3 linked regions of the Arabidopsis thaliana genome follow. The protein of the gene in region 2 interacts with the protein of the main gene of each other region in a pairwise test. Each region holds a gene or a part of one and is shown on either strand. Other genes may lie near its edges. The genes, in order: TTL, DDL and MYC2.

What was found.
Region 1: the proteins of DDL (region 2) and TTL interact in binary tests that used the Arabidopsis thaliana proteins (3 or more experiments, as listed by UniProt).
Region 3: the proteins of DDL (region 2) and MYC2 interact in binary tests that used the Arabidopsis thaliana proteins (3 or more experiments, as listed by UniProt).

Annotation. Positions count from the first base shown.
Region 1 is NC_003076.8:23,554,318-23,558,151, reverse strand, and holds TTL (transthyretin-like protein), read left to right. Parts: upstream 1-2,150; 5' UTR 2,151-2,290; coding exon 2,291-2,572; intron 2,573-2,652; coding exon 2,653-2,754; intron 2,755-2,839; coding exon 2,840-2,996; intron 2,997-3,172; coding exon 3,173-3,606; 3' UTR 3,607-3,756; downstream 3,757-3,834. Other genes in the region: MSI1 (Transducin/WD40 repeat-like superfamily protein), read right to left, coding at 158-386, 478-573, 686-810, 948-1,100, 1,266-1,592, 1,696-2,040. UniProt on the Arabidopsis thaliana protein: Involved in the last two steps of the degradation of uric acid, i.e. the hydrolysis of 5-hydroxyisourate (HIU) to 2-oxo-4-hydroxy-4-carboxy-5-ureidoimidazoline (OHCU) and its stereoselective decarboxylation to (S)-allantoin, a major ureide compound.
Region 2 is NC_003074.8:7,176,303-7,180,136, forward strand, and holds the start of DDL (SMAD/FHA domain-containing protein), read right to left. Parts: upstream 1,719-3,834; 5' UTR 1,570-1,718; intron 1,333-1,569; 5' UTR 1,299-1,332; coding exon 924-1,298; intron 464-923; coding exon 432-463; intron 353-431; coding exon 286-352; intron 175-285; coding exon 117-174; intron 1-116. Other genes in the region: AT3G20555 (uncharacterized protein), read right to left, coding at 1,898-2,089, 2,172-2,312. UniProt on the Arabidopsis thaliana protein: Involved in the microRNA (miRNA) and short interfering RNA (siRNA) biogenesis. May facilitate DCL1 to access or recognize primary miRNAs. Binds RNA non-specifically.
Region 3 is NC_003070.9:11,799,538-11,803,137, forward strand, and holds the start of MYC2 (Basic helix-loop-helix (bHLH) DNA-binding family protein), read right to left. Parts: upstream 1,871-3,600; 5' UTR 1,377-1,870; coding exon 1-1,376.

The sequences.
Region 1 (3,834 bases), on a different chromosome or scaffold from region 2:
ACTCCTTCATGTTATAAAGAAAAATTCCCACTTGCTACCATCCTCTCATGCCTCATTTTACACAATGAACACTAAATACTTGAACTAAACAATAGCAGAGATGTATAAATAAATACTGTCCCATAAGATCAGTGCGCTTTGGATACTAAATAACAAGCTAAGAAGCTTTTGATGGTTCTTCCCCTGGAGCGTCATCCTCATCATGATAGATGTTTTCAGCCATTTGCCATATTTGGAGTATGTTGTCCTCAGCAACACTGGAAATAACCCAATCTTCACAAGGGTTCCACGAGAAATCTGAAATTTTGCTAGTGTGACCACCGTGAATAAACAGCAGCTCAGGTGGGCCGTCTTCTGCGTCCTCCACTGTCTGTTCCTCATCGATCCTATCATAAGACACCCTCAAACATATCAATATTGCTCCTCCATGACCATACATGAACATTAAACTAAAGAACTAAAGTCTACGGCCCAAACCTGCTAAGGTCCCAAACCATAAGTCTTCTACCAAGGCAACATGAAGCTAAAATAGTCTCGTTCTTTGGGTTCCAACCAACTTGAAAAACCTCCTCTCTGGAGATCAAGCACATAATTAAGGTTAGTGATGTTGCTGTAACTTGTAAATACTTCTTAGTAACACAAAATCCATCTCAAAGCGGCAATATTTATGGCGTATCATTCTTACTTGTGGCTATCAAATGTGTGAAGAGCGGTGCTTAGCTTCCGTAGATCGAATAATTTAACAGTCTTGTCAGTTGATCCTGTTGCCACAACCCACTCATTAAATGGATTGAAGGCTAAGCAGTTAACCTAAGGCATTTCAAACAACTCAACAATTAGCAAATACATACGAGGCAATATGATTCAATGGTTTTTAGTGTTAAGGAAAGCAAGCTTAAAAACCAGAAGTATTATCTGTATCTAAAGCTAATATATTGCAAACTCACCTCCATCGAATGAGCAACCACAGACTGTACTGGTTTACTGGCAGATGGAGAACGCAGATCCCATATGAGAAGGTATTGGTCATCTCCAACTGATCCAAACAGGTACTCATGTCTCAGATGCCATGCAACATCTTCCACAACCCCTTCATGAGCCTTAAGTTCAGAAAATAATCATCAGCAAGGAAAACACAGAAACCAACCTGAATATCTATCTATGAGCTTTCATAAGTGTAACTGATTCCGTTAAGTGGGTGCAATTCCTTCCTTTCTAGATGATACAAAACAAAACTAAAAACGAATAGAAATCCAAAGCATTACCTTAAAAATCTGCTGAGCGTCCAGAGATTTGTTTTTAGGAGTAGCGTTAATATCCCACAAGCAGATCTGAGCATCATCAGAGCCACTAAGCAAATGACCCTGCTTGAACTTACTCCAAGAGAGACCATATCCCTCAGAGCTGTGACCTCTAAGCTTTAAATCAGGATTACAAGCCCCATCAAGAGGAGGCTTAGATGGATGCTTACTGTAATCGAAAACATAGACCTCCGCATTAACTGTCTTGGTAGCAATTATGAAAGGGTTTTGAGGCATATAGCGAGCTCGATTAACCTCACCATCATGATTTATCTGCTGGATAATTTGTACCTACACAAGCAATCAAACTAACATTTATCATCCTTTACCTCGTTATAACCCTAGAATCAAATCTAGAAAGTTGGAAATGAGAAACAAAAATAAAAAATCGCACCTTTCCAGTTGCACAGCCAAAGCCACCAAATTCAGAGCGGTCATCATCGTACTGACGAGCTTCACTCTCGGTATCGTCAAGAGGAAGCTGAACTTGGGCTAGCATCAAGTAATTGGGCTCGCTCTCGGAGGTATGGGTACCGAGAATCATCTTCTGAACGGAGTAGTCTTTACCGGAAGGTTCTTCACGGTCAGGAAGCCATTCAACAGTAAGTGAAGGCCACTCGAGAGCGTGAGTAATAACGAGATCGTAGAGGAAAGGAGTGTTCTTCTTCCAGATCTTGTACTCTTCATTGATTAGTCGCTCCTCGATCTCACCTCGCATTTCCTCTTCGTCTTTCCCCATATCGGCGATGTCTTTGTTATTCCCGCCACAAGAACAAGGCAAAACCCTAAAACAGATCTCTTTACAAATTGTAAGAAACTTCTCGCTTCTGTTTCTGAATAATTCACATATAGAAGATGATGAATAAAAAAAGGAAGAAGATAAAGAAAAGGCCCATTTTTGAAAAGCCCGTTTATGAAAAGGCCCAATTAGATGACTTTTGATCTTACACCAGTCAACAGAAGTGAGGATTGGAGAAAAGAGAGAAAAAATGGCGATGGAGATCGGAGAAGATGAATGGAAGGTTTGCTGTGGAAGCTCCGAATTCGCGAAGCAGATGTCTACGTCTGGACCGTTAACTTCTCAAGAAGCAATATATACTGCAAGAGACATCTGGTTCAACCAAGTTAATGTGACAGATTGGCTTGAAGCTTTCTCTGCTCATCCTCAGATTGGGAATACTCCTTCACCTTCTATCAACTCCGATTTTGCTCGTCGGAGCGTATCAGAACAGTCAACCGCCTTTGCCACAACTTCTGCTTCTGCTTTACAGGTGATGGATCTTCACTTTTTTTTTCCTTCATCTCTTCAGTGATTTCTTCTTCTGATGATCAATTGTTTTCAATTTCTTAGGAGCTTGCCGAATGGAATGTACTTTACAAAAAGAAGTTTGGCTTTATCTTCATTATTTGCGCTTCTGGCAGGACTCACGCTGAGATGCTCCATGCGTTAAAGGTCAACTTTTGCATTTCCAAATCAGTTTTTGTTGAGTGTGAGTGAATGAGAAAGTTACATATTCATCAAATCGTCTCTTTTTCAGGAAAGGTATGAAAATAGGCCAATAGTGGAGCTTGAGATTGCTGCTATGGAACAAATGAAAATAACAGAGCTACGAATGGCAAAGCTGTTCTCCGATAAGGCTAAAGTTATATCAGAAACTGACAGCTCTAGCTCTCCTGTTTCAACAAAACCTCAAGGTATATTGATGATTTACCAAATCTTTTCCTTGTCAAAGTTTTGTGTTTGACTGTGTGGGTTTGAACCTGTTAGGATTCAGTATGATATCAAGTATGTGTCTTTTGGAATACAAGGATTTACCCTTATGGCTATCTTTGTTATCTGTGTGACCTTTTCTACTTTCTCGCTTTGTAAGATCGTCTGAGAATCATTGGAGGGCATTTGAATGTTGCAGCTGAAGCAAAAGCTCCCAAGAGAAGTAGGCCACCGATCACGACTCATGTCTTAGACGTCTCACGTGGTGCTCCAGCTGCAGGTGTTGAAGTGCACTTAGAAGTGTGGAGTGGTACTACCGGTCCTTCCTTTGTTCATGGAGGTGGTGGGGTCTGGTCCAGTGTGGGCACATCAGCTACTGATAGAGATGGGCGCAGTGGGCCACTGATGGATTTGGTTGACGCTTTGAATCCAGGGACATATAGGATTAGCTTCGACACTGCAAAGTATTCCCCAGGCTGCTTCTTTCCCTATGTTTCCATTGTATTTCAGGTTACAGAATCACAGAAATGGGAGCATTTCCATGTCCCACTGTTGCTTGCACCTTTTTCTTTCTCCACATACCGTGGGAGCTAGAGCTATGCTACTGCTGTCTGCGGCACCAACTTTCCAACACATTTTGTTTTGGTTGTACCACTACGGGAACATGTATCAAAATTGCTATGAAATGAAGTCTTTATTCGACATGTATAAAAATTGCTATGAAATAATGTCTATTCGAGTATTTATTTGGATTTGTAGTTCTGTAGAACAAACAATGAATTAGCGAAAATACGAGCTTTGATCTAGACTCATTGTGAGTAG
Region 2 (3,834 bases):
AGGCAGATGTTTCGCAGTTCAAACATGCAATGAAAACACTATGGCAAAAGTTTCTAGCACAAGGTAATGGTAACAGGTGATATTCTTAAATGAAATGGACGGATCAGAAGTTTCACCTCTGTATCTGTTAGTTTCTTCAGCAAGTTTCCCTGATAGCTCAAATGATGGTTCTTCCTACAAGATATATCAAAATTAGATTTGAAGCGTTAGCATTTATGCATGGATGAGCTAAGCGAGCTCAAAATGACATTGGAAATTGAAAATCAATAGGGCTTGATATAATACCTTTTTCTTCGCTGCCAGAGCCTCTTCAACTGCTCTCATTCTCGCGACTGAATCTTCCTCGACATTTCTGTTAACGAAAACCCATAACATGGTTAAAAGAAAGACTGAAAAATTGTAACGGCTAATCTAATAAGAAGAAAACTCACGGCTCCTCGCTGCCCCCTCTTGCATTAGACCCCTGAAAAGACAAAAGGCGATAAAAATGACTGAAGAAGTAACAAAAATCTGTGGCTCGCAGAAAATGATAATTTGCAGAAAGCAACCATAATCTATATAATGAGCTTTTACTAAAAAGAGAGAAACATGAGAAGTGATGTTACTGGACATGCTGAAGGGAAACAAAGAGACTATCTTTCTTAAGTCCTTTAGCAACAGAGTAAGCAAAAAATGGCTGGCTGCAGGTTCTAGTTATAGACTCACGAGATGGATAAGCTAGATTACAGGATTCCAATTATTTATTATGTGACGAAACAAGCAGCAGAGGCTAACCTTTTCTAGCATACATCAGAGCTAAACAATTTCAATCACATTTATCTTTTCAAGCAGAATACGAATATGCACAAGTAAAACCCAAAACAAAAAAAAAAACACTTCTGAGATTAAGAACATATCCAAGCTAAAGAAAGAAGCAGAAATACCTCATCATGCCTTGAGGCAATAGCTCTTTCAGGTGAACGCCTACTACTCCTGTGACTCCTATCTGACGGTGAAGTAGACCTCTCATGTCTTCCTCTAGAGTATCTCTCATCATCTGTTCTTGTCCTTCTCCTTTTTTCAGTATCCTCTCTCCCTGATCGTCTTCTCTTATCCCCAACTTCCCTATCTCTTTCTCCTTCTCCTTTTCTCTCCCTATCCCTATCTCTTCCTATATCTCTATCCCTTTCCCTACTGTTTCTCTTCTCCCTTTCTCTACCATCATCTTCTCTCTCTCTACTTCTCCCAATTTCCTTCTCTCCTCGAGCTCTTCTCAGTCTCTTCGTACGTGGTGAAGGAGACCTAGAACTAGGAGCCATTATTGGAGTCAGGGTCGTTTTCTCTCTTCTTTGCCTTTGGAAAGATCACAAATTGAAACCAGGGTCAGAAGGAAAAGGCATGTGAGCTCCAGATAACACAGTAAACCCTAATTCCCAAATGCATAGAAACTAGAAATGGAGCAAAAGCCCTAAACCAAAAAACGTAAGCTACAGATTTCAAATACTAAATTCAGAAGTTCCGGGCATAGTCTAGGGTTGCAAGAATCGTTAAGAGAAAAAATCGCTGCATAACGAGAAAGAAAAATTTTACCTGGTGGCCGGAACTGTGACTACTTCGGCGGAGAGAAGAGGAGAGAGTGAATAATAATAATCGCAGAGATAAAAAGAATCAGAGCCAAAACGAGAAGAATCATTTATTTGGCCTCTTTTGCAAATAAATGGAAACTGAGGGGTTCAATATCAAACAAATTGTAGACGGTATGGTAAAACTTCCATTAGTTGACACGTGTCATATCTTGTTTGGTAGAAAGGATATGTATAATTAGGGCAGAAGCCGCTTGTAACGTCGTACCCTTGTACTTCCTTCGAGATTTTTGTTTCTTCGTCCTAGTTTGCAACAAAGATTTTATAATTGATCATCAAACAAATCGGTGAGCCTGTAACAAATCGAGTGCACCAGCTTTACCACCAACTTTGATAGGATAGAAGACAAATACAAGATCATAGATATAGTTGAGGTGGATAGCTAAACGACATAAACCATCAGAAGTGACAGTGATCTTGTTCTGATTGTAACAGAGTGCACCAGGTTTACCACCAACTTTGATCCTCTCATGAAGGAACTTGTGGAGAGAAATTTTCAACTTCGAGGAACATATGTCCTGAAATCCCATCTGTAGTTCTCCTTACTACCGATTTGTAGTCGCAACTGTTGGCCTTGAAGCTTATGTGGAAGACAGCATTCATAGACTCGAGCTTTAGAGACGGGTCAGTATGAGTTTCTCGGGTGATGCTTTGGTTTGTCGGGTGATGGCTCATCGAATCCCAAATCATGTCTCCTTGTTTATTTGATGTATCTTTAGTTTCATGTATATACTAGTGTACGCCAATATTATAGACGATTAAAAACTAATTCTTGTTTACGTATGAACAAAACGATATGTACTTTGTCATTATTATATTTTTTGTCAAAGATTGAGAATATTTATTTTTTTCGCATCATAGACACACAAACAAATGTTGTCTAATGATCTACCAGCCGGCTTGTATATCTAATTCAAATATCGGTCATGCATCATGCACTTCATTAGTATCTTATGTTTTGCAAAATACTGGCTAGACTGTCACATATATCAGAATCGGTCACCGTCACCTTCTTCGTTATTGTCATACGGTTTCACTATGACAAAGTCCAAATTAGGTCAAATTTTAAGCGAACATACGTAGCCTCTTACGTCATAGATTGCTGATGAAAAAGAGGCAAATTATTATAACAACCATCAAAGATTCGGTACTAACTTTACAAATTCACACAATTCGTATCTCACAATCTAAAAGTGCAATATGTCGTACATGTTTTGTAAGCTAGACAATAGTAAAATAATTATCCTGCCGGACTATAAAGGTTCGAGAACGTGGACCGACTATATTTATATATCAATTAGCTATTTGTGGTGTTAGCCTAATGTTGCCTTCATCACGTTTTCTGTTTTTTTGTTGAAGGATTTTCAAATAGATGAATTGACTATCATCACCTTGTCACGTTATAAACCATATATATTATCGTTAAACACTTAGTAGCAGTTCCCCACGAATTACATGTCTCCATCATTGACAAATTTATATTTTTGTTTGTAAGAACACTTTTTCCTTCCTCAACAAATTCTTGTACTTAATACAGATATATACTTATAAATGTTACATCAAACGCTAGATAACGGAGAATATAAGCTAAAATGAAATTAATATATCTTGTTTCAGCTTCTATCGAAATTATTTTCATTAATGGACAATATAAAATTTGATCCTTATCTACTGTTTCTGTGAATTTGTGATTATCATCAGGCAAATGTATCATTAGGCAAATGTTTTTATCTAAATTAACACTTTTATTGGAAAACTACCAAAATACATTTAGGTTCACCCATCAAAAGTACTTTATGTTGTTATGTTATATATTGTGTGCTAACTAAAAAGATTACAATTTAGCAAATCTCAAGTTGATGTGTACATTTATAATCTCCACTACAACAAGAAGGTGATCCACTTCTCTTGTATATCTTTATTTGTTCTTGCACGTACATAAAGAAATCAAACTGTTCAACTGCCATTTAGAATATTAAAACCAACAAAATAATATTATAACAAGTAAATACTTAAACAATAATAAGAACAAAGGGCCAAAATCGTGCCAAACCTACAACATTCCTGACCTCTGCCTCCCCCACTATATAGAGGTCACATTTGAGAGAATTAGGCAAATAAAAATCTAAGAACCATTTTAATAGCTTCTCACATCTCTCTATTATAATATCAAACTACTCTTCACCAGCCCTCTTAATTATCTAAGAAAGTC
Region 3 (3,600 bases), on a different chromosome or scaffold from region 2:
TGTCTCTCTGCTTCGACGTGGTTTAGTGGCTCTTCTCTACCGTTTGCTGGCTTTCTTCCTCGTTTCTTTGGACGTTTCTCTACTGCTACTTCTTTCACGACGGAAGCTTCTAGATCGGAGTGATCTGATTCTCCGGCGGTTTTATCTCCGAATGATAGAACTTTATCTTCGTTCAAAACCATCGACCTCTTTCTTTTGTTTTCGAATTGTGTTTGACCCGAATAAGAACTTGGATCCGGGTTTCCGGAGCTTCGTTTACCTTCATCGCCGAAGTTTAATATCTCGCCGGATCTTGGTTTCACTAAAGTAGAACTTGACGTCGAAAAATTAAGTTCTCGGGAGAAAGTGTTATTGAATTTCGGATTCTGGGTCTGAGAATGAACCGGACTCGGAGTCGGATCCAGATTCGGGTTTTCGGTTATTGTGCTTGAGCTACCGTTCTCAAACTGAATAGACTTTGAAAAAAGCTGGGAGCTAGAACTTGGAGCTCCGTTACCCGGTTCGTTAGATCCAGGTGTTCCAATCGGGTCATTAATCCACATAGACGGGTCGTTCTCACCTTGATCCGGGTCAAGATTCCAATTAAGACCCGATAAATCTCCAGCTCCGCCGTCGAAATTGAAAAGAATTCGAACCTTGTTAATAAGGTCCGAACTCTGTCGGATCGGCTCCGTTGACCCGACTTCCACAACTCCGTTCGCCGAAGGAATACACGCAATAGTATGCATCCCAAACACTCCTCCTTGCTTAGCCCGTTCACAACCCGACCCGGATAATTGATCTGACCCGGAAACCCAAACCGCGTTACCCGTTGCAAACGCTTTACCAGCTAATCCCGCACCGCAAGCGAAGCTCTGCGTCATCGAAACCAAGAAAAACCATTCCGTATCCGTCACCTCCTCATCAACAGCGTCATCCGACGGAGCAACACCACCGGAGATCAACGAGTTAAGCTCTCTCAACACTTTTTTCCTGTACTCCTGATCCGCCGGAGTAGAAAACGGCGGCGAACTCGATCTCCGTCTCGGGTTTGCTTTATCTTCTTCACCTTTGTAATAACCATCTCCCCATCCGAGCACGGAGGCGCCGGAGAAATCATACGACGGTTGCCAGAATATAGCGTAGGTCCAACCTTCGTGTGTTCCTTCAATCAAAGCTTGTAAACGTTGCTGAAGAGTCTCTTGATTAAATCCCGCCTGTGCCGGAATCTCCATCGCCGGCGTCGGAGTTGTTTCAGTCGTCGCCGTCGTGGTTGTCGTCGACGCCGGAGGCCATAAAGTTGAGATATCGGAAGAGCTCATGAAAGCTTCCATCATAGAAGCGTTGTCGTCGGTGGTCCAAAGATTCATCGTTGGTTGTAGCCGGTAATCAGTCATTCCATAAACCGGTGACCGGTAAAAAAAAACACGTTTTTAATGAGAGAGAGAGAGATAGGAGAAAGTCTTCGTAGTGGAGAAAAATGGAGAGCGTCTGCGATTATTATATGTGTAACTGATCTTGAGGGTGAATGTGTAAATTTGTTGTTAGGGATATTACGTGGCGAGATTTCATTGGGAAACGTGGATGGTTGTAAGAGAGAGAGAAGCTTCGATGAACTCACATCCCGATTTAACCCCATCGACTGTTGGATCGACGCGGTAAGAATTAAGACCGGAAGTGAGTGAGATCGTACGGCTGTTTGGTCGCACGTGTATCACACGCTCTTTAATGATTGACTTAGATTTTAACTGATTGTTTCTTTTGTACCAAAGAGTGAACTGTGAGCTCAGTGGAAAAACACTTTACTATAACTTTTCACCTATTTTTTCGATTTATATTTGTCGTTTTGTCAACTTTTAGAATATATTTTTTATAACAGATTAATTACTTATTTTATAATGTTATTTTAAAATATTAAAAATCAAAATTTAAGATTTGTAATCTCAATTATCAAATACTGTGTCTTAGCTTAATTAATTTTGAGATTTGCATATCTATATAACGTGAGTCGTTGCTAATAATTCACTAAAGCAAAAATTTGTGTTTGTCTTAATATGTTAAATTGCAAGAGAGTGAAATGCAAGTGAGAATCTCTATCTCCAAAAACGATTCTTGTCTGCTTAACTAATTAATTTGTTGACGACTAAATAAACTAATAATTTATTAATTTGACCAAACGCTATTATTAGCATATGCTTTAAGAAAGGAAGAACTCCTTTATAATATTTTTAGTTACATTCACATTTCACGATAAACACATGCTAACAACGTTATATTGTTTGTTTAATTTACAATATTAAAATTTTATTTTTAAAGTTCGAACAATAATTCAAGGATTAGGTCATTAGGTGAGTATGAGTGAATAACATAAATCATTTGGCATCTTTTCCTCCATGCATAAATTTATCACAATAATTTAGCATGCCACCAATATGGTCCCATTACTCCTAACCCTTACCTAAAAACCAAAAATAAAACAAAAAGAATTAAGATAAAATAGTATATATATATATATATATATATACTTCTAAAATTCTATCTTGCGAAGACAAATTCTTACTAACAAAACACTAAACTTATGTTATTGTGTTCTTGTAGATTTACGTTGTCTTGTGATAAACTCAATGATATGTCTTTATACGTTCAGATTAATGATACTCCGGTTGATTTTTCTTATTAAAACCATATTAAACTAAAGAGTATTTTACCAACAATAAATAGTAAAATAATTTTGGGATCTAGTATACCATTTTTTGTAAATAACAACCAAAATAACTTTTGAATATAATTTTCTGAGACATCTGTATTGGGTGAACTCGTCAATGAACGATTCAACAAACAGAAAACAACCAAACCATTGTCTGGTGGTTGTGAGTCGACTTTTGAACATGTTTACTATAAGAAAATTATGAGAAGATGTTACACTAAGTTTTGGCTAGGTGATTCGTGATATCATATTTCATGTCGACTTTGGGGGTGACGCCACTAGAAAACAACAATATCCCACTAAGTAATGAATAATTAGTGGGATAAATATAGAGATTTCCCCCCTTACTTCGAGAAATGAGATAACAAAGATGACAGTTTTCTTGTTATGTTGTTATGTTGAGCTTAGAATGGGGATGATGGAGTGTTCTGACTTCTTAGAGAAAATGGTTGAAATTTTTTAAGTAGAGAGTCGGGTTGATTAAATGAAGATCTTACTATCACCTTGTTGAAAGAGAGGGACATTAGTCGGGATTCGGGAACAATGTGGAACGTAAGATATAAATTTCCCATATGTTATTTCCTAACTGCATGAAATAAAAATATATCTGTTACCTGATCCAAATTTGTATGTGACCAATTCGAGTTATTCTTAGATTTAGAGAAATAGAGAATCATCAATTGGTGTACACTTTCGATAGATCGTCGAACATGATATAATGATCTTGATTGATTTGGCATGCTCGAATAGCTTATACAATGTGTTACATATGTTAGGTTAATAAGTGACTAGGATGACCTTGTAGAAGCGCCTCAATCTATGTATCTTTTGTTGATTGAGTTCCTAAGTAGCAATAATTTATTCATAATTATAATAACATATGTTCATATATATACATATGTATATAAATTTAC